Oryzias latipes: one gene and its partners. The protein of the gene in region 1 purifies or fractionates together with the protein of each later gene. This does not show direct contact. Links are inferred from orthologs where the notes say so. Each region holds a gene or a part of one and is shown in the gene's direction. Other genes may lie near its edges.

Region 1 (3,500 bases):
CGTCTGTACCGGTAGTTCTGTTATACGTCTGTACCGTTAGTTCCGTTATACGTCTGTACCAGTAGTTCTGTACACGTCTGTACCGGTAGTTCTGTACACGTCTGTACCGGTAGTTCAATACACGTCTGTACCGGTAGTTCCGTTATACGTCTGTACCGTTAGTTCCGTTATACGTCTGTACCAGTAGTTCTGTACACGTCTGTACCGGTAGTTCAATACACGTCTGTATTGGTAGTTCCGCACACCTCTGGATTGGTAGTTTATACACGTCTGTACCGGTAGTTTTGTATACGTCTGTGCCAGTAGGTCTGTACGCGTCTGTACCGGTAGTTCTGTACACGTCTGTACAGGTAGTTCCGTACACATCATTACAGGTACGTCTGTACTGGTAGTTCAGTGTATTTCAGTACCAACCAGGTTATGAGTCTGGGTACCCATCCCTACTCATCCCTACTGGAGGGAGGGGCTGCCGTGCCTCTGCACCAGAACATGTTTGATTCGTCCGTTTCTGATTTAATGTGATGTTGTTTCCTATTTGAATTTTCTGTTTGAGGCATCAAAGAATTGAAGACCTCATCTTAACTAGACCACGCTGATACCAAACAGAACCCGTTTAAACTTTAGCACGTCTGGAAACAGACCAAAAACAGTCCACTGGCCACATGGTGCACTAAATCATGAGGAAATGCAGACTCGGCCTTCAAGCAGATGGACTCGGCGTCTCTACTGGTTTGTGGAACAGCGGCTCAACAAACGAGATTTTTAACCAAAGAAAACCAAAGATCTGACCCAAATCTCCAGAGGATCCAGAGGTAGAGATTCTAACTAAAGAATAGAGGTGTTTATTCTTAAACCGCTGAAGTTTTGTGGGAAAGCTGCTGCTCTGGGTTTCATTCCTTCCTGTCAGTAGTTGTTTTCTTCCTGCAGGGCCTTTGGTGTCAAATTGTTGGAGTTTGTTTCCTAAATTGTTTTTCTCTCTACCGTCAGCGTTTGCTCTAACACGTCCCTTTAATCCGGTAAAATAATCTGTTTGAACCGGAAGGGTCTGGGTTGAGCTGTTGGTCTTCAGCTTGATGTTTTATAAACAAACTGACGTTTACAGGAACCGGCGGTGGCGTCTGTAACGCACCAACGCGTGTGAAACGGTCGGTTCATCTCGATTTAAAACCTCTGTGACGATGAAAAACAAGCGGCAGCACTCTGAGAAGCTGCTTTGTGCCGAGTCAGGATGCTGTCGCCGCGTCATGCTAAGCCGTAAAGAGAAACATCCAGCAGACCGTGGCGAGGTTAGAAAACACAAACTGAAGCTGCGGCTCAGCTGATGGGGCGGAGCTTCTCCTTTCTCTGTGGAGGAGGACCGGAGGAACAGCCTCAGGAGCCCGGTAGAGCCTGGACCGCGGGTGGGAGGAGAACCAGCAGCCTAACCGTCTCAGGACCTGAGCTGGCATTTGCTGTTGTCTGTAGGGTGGGGGCTTTCTGTGGAAGAGGTTGGAGGATCAATTCCCCTTTATTTCACCAGATACCTTTCCGAAGAAGGGCAAACCGCGACAGGCCCTGGGGCCGTTTTAAAGCTTTTGCTGTAGATTAGAAAATGGTTACGGAAGATTTCCAGAACTTCTGGAGCTCGATCCAGTACCTAAAATAACAGAACTTCTGTAAAATAAAAGGGAAAAGGTCAACAGATGAAAACAAGTTGATTTAATTTCAATAAAAAGCCTCATGGACGTTGAAAACGTCCGGAGAAAGACTTTCAAAATAAAAGTCCTGCAGCACCGTTTCATGTTCAGAACTTTGCTGATGGTTCTCTGAACATGGTTTCAAGCATTGCTGTGGAGAAAGCGTCCGAACAGACGAACCGCCCCATTGTGGGTTTGATCCTGCTGTTAATGCTGCTGGTTTGGTGTCCTCAGCCTGTCCTGCAGCCCCCCCCTGCAGAGACAGACGTCCCTCCTGTGATGATCTAACCTGCTTTTGCTGTGACCTTCTCTTCCTCGCTGCTTCACGGTCTTTGATGTAATGTCGTTGCCCCCTTTAGATGTCTCGAATAATCCAGGTTTATGATGAGGAGAAAGAGATTAATCCACAGGTAAGCTCAGGTACCTGTTTCCTCCCACTGAGGCTCCTAGAAAGGTTTTTCCACTTCAAACTGTGATGAGGGGGGGGGTCGGGAAGGGATGCCGTGAATTAATAGTCGTCCTTTCAGGGTCCGTTTGACCCGTTTGATGAAGCGGGATCCGTTTTTGATCCCGTTAGTTTGATTCCAACCCCTCCGAATCGCTGGTTCTGCCAAAGCCACGAACCAATCAGATTAATTCATGTGAGGTTATGAAACCAGCAAATATGGTGGTTGGTTCTGATCCAAATCCATCTAAGTCATGATTCAAAGGGAAATTTACACAAAGAAAAGATGCATTCTAAAAATAATAAAAGAATTTGGTTTATATCAGAATAGTTTATTTTCCATCTTTTACCTGAGGATTGATTTGATCTGATGCACTGATTATTATTGGATGTCGTCCCGATCAGTGGTGACACTGAGCATGTGCAGTAGCCTCCTGGTTCCTCTGCGCTTCAGTTGAGCCTTTCTTTCTGTTTGAACACATCTGGTTCCTGTATTTTCCATCATTCCAGAGAAACGAAGGCGCTCTGCTCTTTGTCATCTTAGTTCAGTTGTGACTCCGCCCACATCAGTGAAGGTTGACTTCTTCCTCAGATGAAGGAACTTCAGCCGCATCTTTTGGGCGCTAAAGCTAAAAACCTTTTTAAAGGTTTATGTTGGAACAGAAGGAGAGAAAATGAAAATGCTGCAGATGGATGAAGGTCTGATGGTGGAAAAACGTCATGGAGCCGCAGTGGGACAGGAAGGCAGAATATTCCTGCTCTGCTCAGCAAGGTTGAGGTGGGGCCGCCTCCCCGCAAGACTTTTAACCAGGTTTAATTTGTCTCCTCGTTCTCCTCCTCCTCACCCTTCCTCTCCAAACCCACTCACTGGTGCTCTCAAACCTTCTCCCTCCTCTTTCACCGCTCCCACTTTCTCCTCCCTCCTCTTCCTCCTCCGGCAGGCCGGGTCGGAGATGGCCATTTCCGGGAAGGCGGTGGGTCTGTACTTTGAGGAGAAGCTGCAGGAGATGTTCCCGGGCCAGAACTTCCCCGAAACTCCAGAAGCCGAGCCCCCGGATGAGAAGGAGCGGGAGGAGGAGACGGAGGACTCGGAGGACGACTTCATACAGCCCCGACGCAAGCGGTTGAAAACGGACGAGAAGGTGGTCCACATCAAATAGTGACTGAACCAGGAGTGAAGACCGTCTTCCCGCCTCCCTCACTCCCGTTTCTTCAGGAAGAGGAGGAGAGCTCCTCACAAACAGCGGTTCATCCTACGGTTGCCTTTGGAAGAACTCCCATCTACAACATTGTACAGACGATGAAGCTGGACTGGTTTTGCAGTAGTGGACTTTGGGTTGTTTTTCTTATCCCTTTGTAGATTCATGTGATTCTTTTCC
Region 2 (2,540 bases), on another chromosome or scaffold:
AGAAGAGGAAGTCTGCTGGAGGTGACAAAGACAAGGAGCGAGGAGGCAACGACAGCTTCAAGAGCAAAGAGTTCATTGAGACCAGCGAGGAGAGCTCCTCAGACTCCGACCACAAGAGCAAGTCCAAGAGGAAGAAGGTACACTGATGGTTGCTGTCACAGAAGTTAACCTTTTAAAGGCCAGCAGCACCAGTTACACTTCAATTTGATCAAAGAAAGACCCATAAGTAACACGTGAAGCATCATTTACTCACACAGATCAGCTTTCATTAAAAAATCAATCTAATGCTTTGAGAAAGTTGACGCCACGGAGTGTCCTGCCATTAATACAAGGTCTGAATGAATGAACGTCTCGCCAAAGGAACGACCGTATTTTCTTTAATTATACATTTACTTTGCATCTACAGTTCTGAGTGAGTGATAATTGGATTATTAAATTACCAGAAAACAATTATTTTCTTCTACAGTGGGATTCAGATTTCAAATAAAAAAACTGACTGTTTGGAAACTTGTTGTTGGGGGAATAAGAAGAACTATTTGTCTTTCCTCTGAATATATTGTTAGTTTTGTTTCTCAACTCAATTGAGACAATATCCAATCAGCACTTTATTTATCTATTTACACCTTCATAAACAAAGTAAAGACAGAGTTTTTGACACAAATGCTTCTTTGTTGGAAAAAGTCCATCTGTACTGTAGCAATGAGAGTTCCTGTGGCATCCTGTGGCTTTGAGCATTAGGCGTGGCGGGACGCTGGAGCTGCAGCGCGGCATCAACCAATCAGGAGCTCAGATGTGCAGTGATGTGTTGAGGACGGGAACAGTGGGTGAAGTCTAAAACCATCATGGAGGAGAAGCTGATTCGTCCTCCTCTCAAACTTTGATATTTTTCATATAAGAATCAAAAGAATATAGATATATTTTTAAAAGGCCCTTTTTTGTATCTTAAACTTTCTCGGACTAATGCAGGACAGCTTTAGTCATTTTGTCGTTCAGACGCAGTTCCTGCAGTAGATGGTGAACCTAACCGTACTGGAAGTGTCTTCCAATGATGTCAAAATCCCAGAAATGGAGACGTGCTTACCGACATCTTTTGCAGAGCGTTTCAAACCTCTTAACATCATCCATGTCTTCCATGCATTGCTCATGAGAGCTACTGAAATACAGTCTATGCTTCCTACAGGCCTGAGGCTAAAAGCTTTTGACAGTAGCTCCTCCCACATCAACGCAGTGAGAGCGTCAGGTCCAGCAGCACGTTGACCGCGCGTCCAAACAGGCGGAGGTTACAAAAGTCTTTGCGTGAATGGCATTTAGTGTGAACGCAGCATCAGGAAGATCATGTCTCAAGCCTCCAGTTAGTAAAGTGATGAACTCCTTAAGTCATCTTCAGTTTGTGTGTTTTCTGTCAGTTCAGTGCACACACCAAAACCTGACTGTATGTTGTGTATACATATAAATATATATATATATACCTGTGTTAAGAGTTAAAAACAATGATAACTTTGTTTTTTGAACAGGAGTCAGATGATGAGGAAGAAGAGGCTGTGTCCACCCCTGCCAACTCGGAGGAAGAGTCTGACTAAACAAGTTACGTCAAAGACCCCAAACCAACAAGGACCAACAATTTATACTTTTGATTTCAGACTAGTCGGCAAACTTGAGTTATACATATTTTTCTTTTGTTTAGATTTAAGACAACTCTAAATTGTATGTCTGGATAAGAAGAGTCATCTCCGGGTTGACATCTGAGCAGGCGGCCGGCCCCCTCCCAGCTCAATGAAGCAATGGGGTCTTTTGCTTCGCTTGAATTATTAAGGTGTTTTTTCCATCGAGCCCATGGGAGCTGCTCTGACGGAAGCAGCAGGAAAGACTGTGAGCCCCCGATTATGTCATGTGAATGATGCAGAGTAGTGGATTTTTTGTTTCCCTCCTTCTCTCTGTATAGTGCTTTTAAAAACAACATTTTGTGTGTTTTGCTACGCCGTGTTTTCAGGTTGACATAAATAATTTTCAATAAACCTTAACTTTTTTTCCCCTTTGGTACATGTTCTCTTACGTTCTCTGGTTCCGTTTTCCTGAGACCCAAACTAGTTTCAGGAATTACTGCCTTCCAGAAATGTGTTATTTGCTTGGTTCTATACCAAAAAACTTCACCATTTGAGTGGGACAGTCCTCCACCCAGATGCATATTGGTTAGAGAGCATTAAAACAAAAACCATTTCAACAAATAAAAATGCAAAAAATATCTTCTGGGAGATTAAATCCAGAATTATAGAGAAATTAACATTTGTTTCTGCCTATTTAAGATTCAATGCAAATCCTGAAAAAGTGTTCCTCCAATGAAGGATCTCAAGAAATCTGTAGAACAGGGTCTGCAGCCTGAGGCTCTGGAGCCACATGTGGCCCTTCATCCATTGTAGCTCTTTGCTGGCTAGCAAGAAACATTATTCCACTTTTCAAAAAGATGTTAGATTAAATGTCAACAGAACTCTAATGGTAAGAGTGGTATATTATCAAAATAAGCTGATATGTACATGTAGATT
Region 3 (2,211 bases), on another chromosome or scaffold:
GTCCCTCCACGTTTTTGTCATTCAGTTTAAAAACTGCTTCACATGAATGAATACTTTAAAGGAGCCGACATTGGGAAGCATTTGTGTTGTATCCGGTGAGCTGCTGTCCAGTTGATTCCAAAACTTCTGCATCCTTTAGCTTGATGAGACTTTTAACACAGAGCCAGCAGTTTAATCCCTTTGTTCAAATTTTTTTTATTTCTGCCTTAAAAATGTGAAACATCTGGATCCAAACCCTGAATCATCAAAGTTCAATCCCACTGTTCTCGTTATCAGCTCCAGTCTGTCCTGTCCATTCTGAGGTCAGAGAGAACAAAAGAATCGTAAAGATTCAAGAAGGAGAAAGTTTAGAAAAAGAAGCATATCAAATATAAACAGCTATACAGCAAAAAATGTAAAAGACATGAAGATCAGTCCACTTTGAATGTAGCACATTTGACAAAAGACGCTTCAAGATCAAGCTTCAAATCGTATTTTTTGTCTTTCTGCCTTATTGGTCAAAGTACGGCCTCATTTAAAGTCCCACTCCAATCCTCTTTGATCTATTGTAAAAGTATCCCCACTGCTCTTTTAATGAGGATTTTCAGTCAAAAAAAACAAATAAAACATTAGTTCATTAGAAATTTACCTCTGAATTGAGGGCAACCCCATTGGTGCAAAGTAAGCCCGCCCCTATTTCCCGTCATCCATCTGATTACACTTTCTCCCACTAGCTTACAGCCCCAACCGAACATTGCAGATGCAACAAAAACGGGGAGCAATGTTGGAGCAGATAACAGTTCAGACGAGGAAAACAAAGACGTTCATGGATCTATTTGTCTGCAAGTGGATACATCAGAATGGAGCAGAGCAGGGAGCTTGTTGCCCACTAATTATAGCTTGTATGTCACCTCTACAGGCTTTCGCCAACTGTATTTCTGCTCCTAATTCGCCATGATTACAAACACAACACAATTTACATCAGAGTGGGTCTGCCAATAGGTCATTTTGGAACGAAAGTTCTCAGAAATTGCTAAACGTTCTGTTCTTGAACTCTTGTTTAAGTAACCCTGACAGAGGCTGCAGACGCGCTTTGACGTGGAGAAAGAAAATCAACAGTCACGGGTTACAAATCCAGCTGATGTGTGTGGAGGGCTGGCCTACTGGTCACTGACATGAACCCTTGGCTGGTTGGTCATTGGTTCAAGTCCCAATTCTGACTTGAAAAAGTCATAGTAAAGTAAAAAAGCCTTTGCTCCACTGCTGTAATGCCCTTGAGCAAGGCTCTTAAGAGGAGCTGTTCCGTGAACAGAGGTTGACCCGGGTATCTCCCAGGTGAAAAGAGTTCCGTCTCAATGGGTGTCTCTTATATAAATAAAGGGATAAAAAACAGCTTCAGACAGTGACTCTAGTTTTAAGTGTTCTATGAATGTGAAAAACATCTTATCTTGTTTCCATGATCAGATTCAGTGCCAGACAGAACAAAACCTTGCCGTCTTGTTAAAGCAGTTTTATGACGCTGTGCAATAATAATTGCCATAATTCACAGAAAAGTCGAAGCCTCGTCTTACTAAACAGCAGGAAGTTCAGCTGCAGCTCAGAATAGATCCAGTTTGATTGCATATGCCAAATATCAGGGCTAAAATCGATCAGGTGTTTGTTTTTCCAGGACTTGATGTGTTTACTTACAGGCAGAGCGGCTGGTTCTGCATCCTCACCATCTGTTGTCTGTGTGTGCGTCCCAGGCGGCAGACAGTGACCAGCACCCCCTGCTGGATCGAGCTCCACCTGAACGGCCCTCTGCAGTGGCTCGACAAGGTGCTGACACAGATGGGCTCCCCAAGCATCCACTGCTCCAGTGTCTCCTAGGGGGAGCTTCCCTGCCCCCCCCCCCCCCCCCCCCTTTCACGAAACTGAAAACACAGATAGGAAGAGCAGCCCGAGAACTACATGATGACACGCCTCTCATCCAGCCACTGTTTGTCCCTCCTCGCTGCCAGTAGCACTTTTTTTATTTTCTAGTTGCAAAAAGGGGACACGTGCATTAATGCAGTATCAGTTTAGGAGGATCTCAGCATATTGGTCTTTTTTCTTTTTTCTTTTTTTTTTTGAAGGTCATTGTCATTTTTGGCATCTGATAGCCAGAAAGGCAGAATTATTTTTTTATTTCCTGTTTTTTTTTAATGTCTTGTTTATTGTTTATAGCTGTTGGATACATTTTACACTCAATTA
Region 4 (3,500 bases), on another chromosome or scaffold:
GGCGACAGAACTCTGATGTTAAGGTGGTTCCTGGTCTCTGTAGTTCTGAGCTTCATGAAGGATCTGCTCTGAACCGGATCTCTGCTTGATCTCAGGTTTCTGTGAGGAAAGTGCGTGCACGTCTGTCCGTTACCGTGCACGTATGGAGATACCATCTCTGTTTATAGCACAGCGTCTCTGTGCGTGAGGGGAGTCCACGTGACCACGTAGGGGCTGGACCTCCGTCTGTGTCGGTTTGTGTCAAAGGCTCCTCTGCCTCAGGGGTGTAGCGTCCAGCCGGGGCCTCCTCCTGCTTTCTGAGAGGAGGACGAGTCCTCTGGTCCCAAACTGAAGAAATGACCGCAGACACACACAGACAGAGTCACGGATGTTCCTGCAGCTCCTGCCTCTGCATGAGCGCCTGCTGCAGAAATGTCACGTGCGCCGTGGAAGTGGGTCACTGAAGTTCACATGGCGGCGTGTGTCTGCGGCGCTCGGGGGTGATGCGTGTGAAGCCGACAGACTGCAGGTGATTAAGAACAGCAGAGTTCAGCGCGGAGTGGGATCTGCCTTTGTCAGGAGGTGTGTGTGGGGAGGGGGGCACAAAGAAGTGCTCATCCTTTGGGGGGGGGGTTGTGTTTGTAGTGGGCCGTCCTGGGTCAGAACCTGCACTTAGGTCATGAACTGTAGGGTTCAGACAGAAACCACAACCTCTGAGACATGAACGAATGGTGACACCTAAACTTCCTGTTTCCCGCCGCCCTTCCTGCTCACCTGACAGTGACCCCCCCCCCACGCCACAGCAGTGCATGTGCTCATTATCAACACGCTCTTTGCTCTGCTATAAACGTGTGTGGGTGGTAGTGTTCTGACATTCTTGGTTTACTGTCACATGCACACGCACGTGCACATGCACGAGGACAAACGGGAATCACACAAAGTGTAAAATCCCTGCTGGGGGGGGGTTCCACAGAACTTCCACCGCAGTGTTGTTTTCTCCTTTTGTCCTCCCCCCTCCTCCCTGGCGGCTCTGCAGTGCTGCCTCCTGGATGGAAAAAAGGAAAAACCTCCAACCACAAGTATTTTCAGACGGACGAGCCCCCGCCTGTGCTCCGGCCCACCTGCAGCCGGGGGGGGCGCATGTTCTGACGCACTCGACATGTCTGTGGAGGGGGGGGGGCTCTGCAGATTATCTCTCTATAGATTTTTGTCTCACTGCCGATTGATCAGTTTTATTGTGAAAATCCCTCATTCTGATGGTTTTATTGTGAAAATCCCTCATTCTGATCTGGCAGGCTCGCTCAGAAGGTCACAGGACTTTTCCTGCGTAGTTTTCATGCTCCTTCCTTCTGATGATGAAGACCCTCATGTCTGTCACGGACCTCCTCTGTCTGTTAGGAGGCGTTCGCCATGCCTCCTTTTGACCTTCTGCTCTTCTGGTCTCCGCCTCCTCTGCGCTGAGGTCACCCTTTTTCACGCCTTTTCTGTGTCAGACGCCCCAGTTGGACGTGTAGTCCGTCTCCTTTGTCTAAAGGGTCGTCTCCAGTCTAAAACACGGAGGCGCTTCATCTGCAGCGTTCACCAAACCGCTGATCATCAAACCATCATCGGGTCTGGATCCGTCCAAACCTTTCAGTCCGTTTTGTTTCCCTGCAGCCACGGTTCCGGGGTCACTTCCTGTCTCTGTGGCATTTGTCTGACCTCTGACCTGTTTTGAAAATCGTTTCTGTGAACAGTTTCCGGAATATTTATTTTCAGTAGAATATCAGGAACCATCTTTCTCACTTCCTGTCTCTGCAGCAAATGTCTGACCTTTGACCTATGTCCTGTTTCTCTCCGTACATCAGAAGACGGGGGAGGAAGAGGAGGGCCGCGTGAGGAAGAACTCTGCAGATCTCTGCTCTGTTAATAAGTTGGACGATGCTGAACCTGCCAGAAAGGTCAGTCAAAGCCCCGCCCCCTACGGTCTACATCTGTACCTCTCACCGTCTTTGTGTGTGTGTGTGTGTGTGTGACTTTTTCTCTGTCTTTTGTGTCTTATAAAGTCTTTTTTGTTGCTGTTGTGTCACATTCCCAGTTTGTATGATTTGTGCTCCACAGGGTAAACCGTCTCCCCCCGCTCTGCTCTACAGCCATGTTTTCCCAGACATCAAGGAGGAGCCAGGACCCCCCACCCTGGTCCATCCCAGGTACTGCACCTGACTCGCTCACAAAAGACACTCAGGTTCCCATCATGCCTCTGGCTGCAGACGCCCTGACGTTCAGAATCAGACTCCATTTTTCATGGGGACAACATGATCAGACCTGTGCTGCTGAGGCTTCTGGGTAATGGAGTCTTTGCCATAGAAAACTGTTTATTCGAAGTTTGTTTTTTGGAGGAGCCCCCCCCCCCCCCCCCCATTAATCTGACTGGGATTACAGCCAAGAATTCGGGGTTTATGCTGCTGTGGTTGATGACTGACGTCAGAGTGTGTGTGGGGGGGTCTGGTCACCTGGCAGCCTCTGTGCACAGAGAGGGGGGAGGGGGGCCAGGTCTCTGCTGACATCTGAGAACTGTTCTTTTTTGGGGTGGGGGGCACAGGGAGGGGCAGCAGAGCCACTGAGCTGTCAGGCTTCACCTGGTTCAGTGCTGCAGCCTCCCTTGGGGGGCAGGGAGTCTCAGCGCCCCTCTTCTTGGCGTGCAGCCCACACAAACAGGAAGTGAGGGCCTGTAGTCTCCTCTGGAGGAGCTAAAAGACTGGCTGGAGGTTGAGTGGTGGACCCCCCCACCAAAGCAAACAGAGCAGCTGCTTCATCTTTATGCTGTCATGCGTCTCCTTTTCTCTGCAGTTACTACCTGTACACCTACGATAAGATGGTGGCGCCCAACGTGTCCCTGCGGAGGGAGGCGGAGGTGAACCCCGACATGCTGGGGGCGCTGCTCAGACAGCACTACGGCCACAGAGCCCCGGACGAGCCCCCAGTGGGTGAGTGAGCAGACAGCGGTTCAGAACCAAACACGTCCATGAAATGCTGCTTCTGTTTGACAAACGCCGGAGTTCCAGTTTGAGACCAACGTTTGTTTTTACAAAAGTCTCCATTTGATTTTATTACAGTGAGAAAAAAGGTTTGATTCTAAAACCAACATTTACTCTGAGATTCCAGATCAGCTGGAAGTTTTTCAGCATTTATGTGAACAGAACAAAAGAAAACGTGACGACTTTTCATTTGTATGAAACACACCTGTACAAAAATGATCTCACACACACATTTGATGGTGATAAACGGGCGGTTAGTGACCCCCCCTCCAGTGATGAGTCACGTCTACAGCTGTTGGACCCCCCCTCTGTTTGCTAGACCCCTTCTTTTACTCTTTAAGCCCCACCCTCCTTCATCTCAGCCTCTCTATCACACTTCTGCCCGCCCAGATCTTAGTGAATGTAATCAATGCCTCCATTCTATTATTTCCCATGATGCACCTCTGAGGCCAGCCTCAGCTGTGGGACAGCGCGCGGCGGCGTTCAGCGCTCCCACACCGACGC

What was found.
Region 2: the proteins of trim33 (region 1) and ssrp1 purify together in Homo sapiens (affinity purification with mass spectrometry; 3 studies listed by BioGRID and IntAct, with this or other methods). This does not show direct contact. The link is inferred for Oryzias latipes from reciprocal best matches to the Homo sapiens genes TRIM33 and SSRP1.
Region 3: the proteins of trim33 (region 1) and mothers against decapentaplegic homolog 3 purify together in Homo sapiens (affinity purification with western blotting; 7 studies listed by BioGRID and IntAct, with this or other methods). This does not show direct contact. The link is inferred for Oryzias latipes from reciprocal best matches to the Homo sapiens genes TRIM33 and SMAD3.
Region 4: the proteins of trim33 (region 1) and skil purify together in Homo sapiens (affinity purification with western blotting; 4 studies listed by BioGRID and IntAct, with this or other methods). This does not show direct contact. The link is inferred for Oryzias latipes from reciprocal best matches to the Homo sapiens genes TRIM33 and SKIL.

Annotation. Positions count from the first base shown.
Region 1 is NC_019865.2:973,538-977,037, forward strand, and holds part of trim33 (E3 ubiquitin-protein ligase TRIM33), read left to right. Parts: intron 1-2,035; coding exon 2,036-2,086; intron 2,087-3,062; coding exon 3,063-3,281; 3' UTR 3,282-3,500. UniProt on the Homo sapiens protein: Acts as an E3 ubiquitin-protein ligase. Promotes SMAD4 ubiquitination, nuclear exclusion and degradation via the ubiquitin proteasome pathway. According to PubMed:16751102, does not promote a decrease in the level of endogenous SMAD4.
Region 2 is NC_019868.2:13,992,159-13,994,698, reverse strand, and holds the end of ssrp1 (FACT complex subunit SSRP1), read left to right. Parts: coding exon 1-137; intron 138-1,514; coding exon 1,515-1,580; 3' UTR 1,581-2,040; downstream 2,041-2,540. UniProt on the Homo sapiens protein: Component of the FACT complex, a general chromatin factor that acts to reorganize nucleosomes. The FACT complex is involved in multiple processes that require DNA as a template such as mRNA elongation, DNA replication and DNA repair.
Region 3 is NC_019861.2:12,626,459-12,628,669, reverse strand, and holds part of mothers against decapentaplegic homolog 3, read left to right. Parts: intron 1-1,724; coding exon 1,725-1,848; 3' UTR 1,849-2,211. UniProt on the Homo sapiens protein: Receptor-regulated SMAD (R-SMAD) that is an intracellular signal transducer and transcriptional modulator activated by TGF-beta (transforming growth factor) and activin type 1 receptor kinases.
Region 4 is NC_019875.2:30,153,032-30,156,531, reverse strand, and holds part of skil (ski-like protein), read left to right. Parts: intron 1-1,826; coding exon 1,827-1,919; intron 1,920-2,079; coding exon 2,080-2,168; intron 2,169-2,808; coding exon 2,809-2,945; intron 2,946-3,500. UniProt on the Homo sapiens protein: May have regulatory role in cell division or differentiation in response to extracellular signals.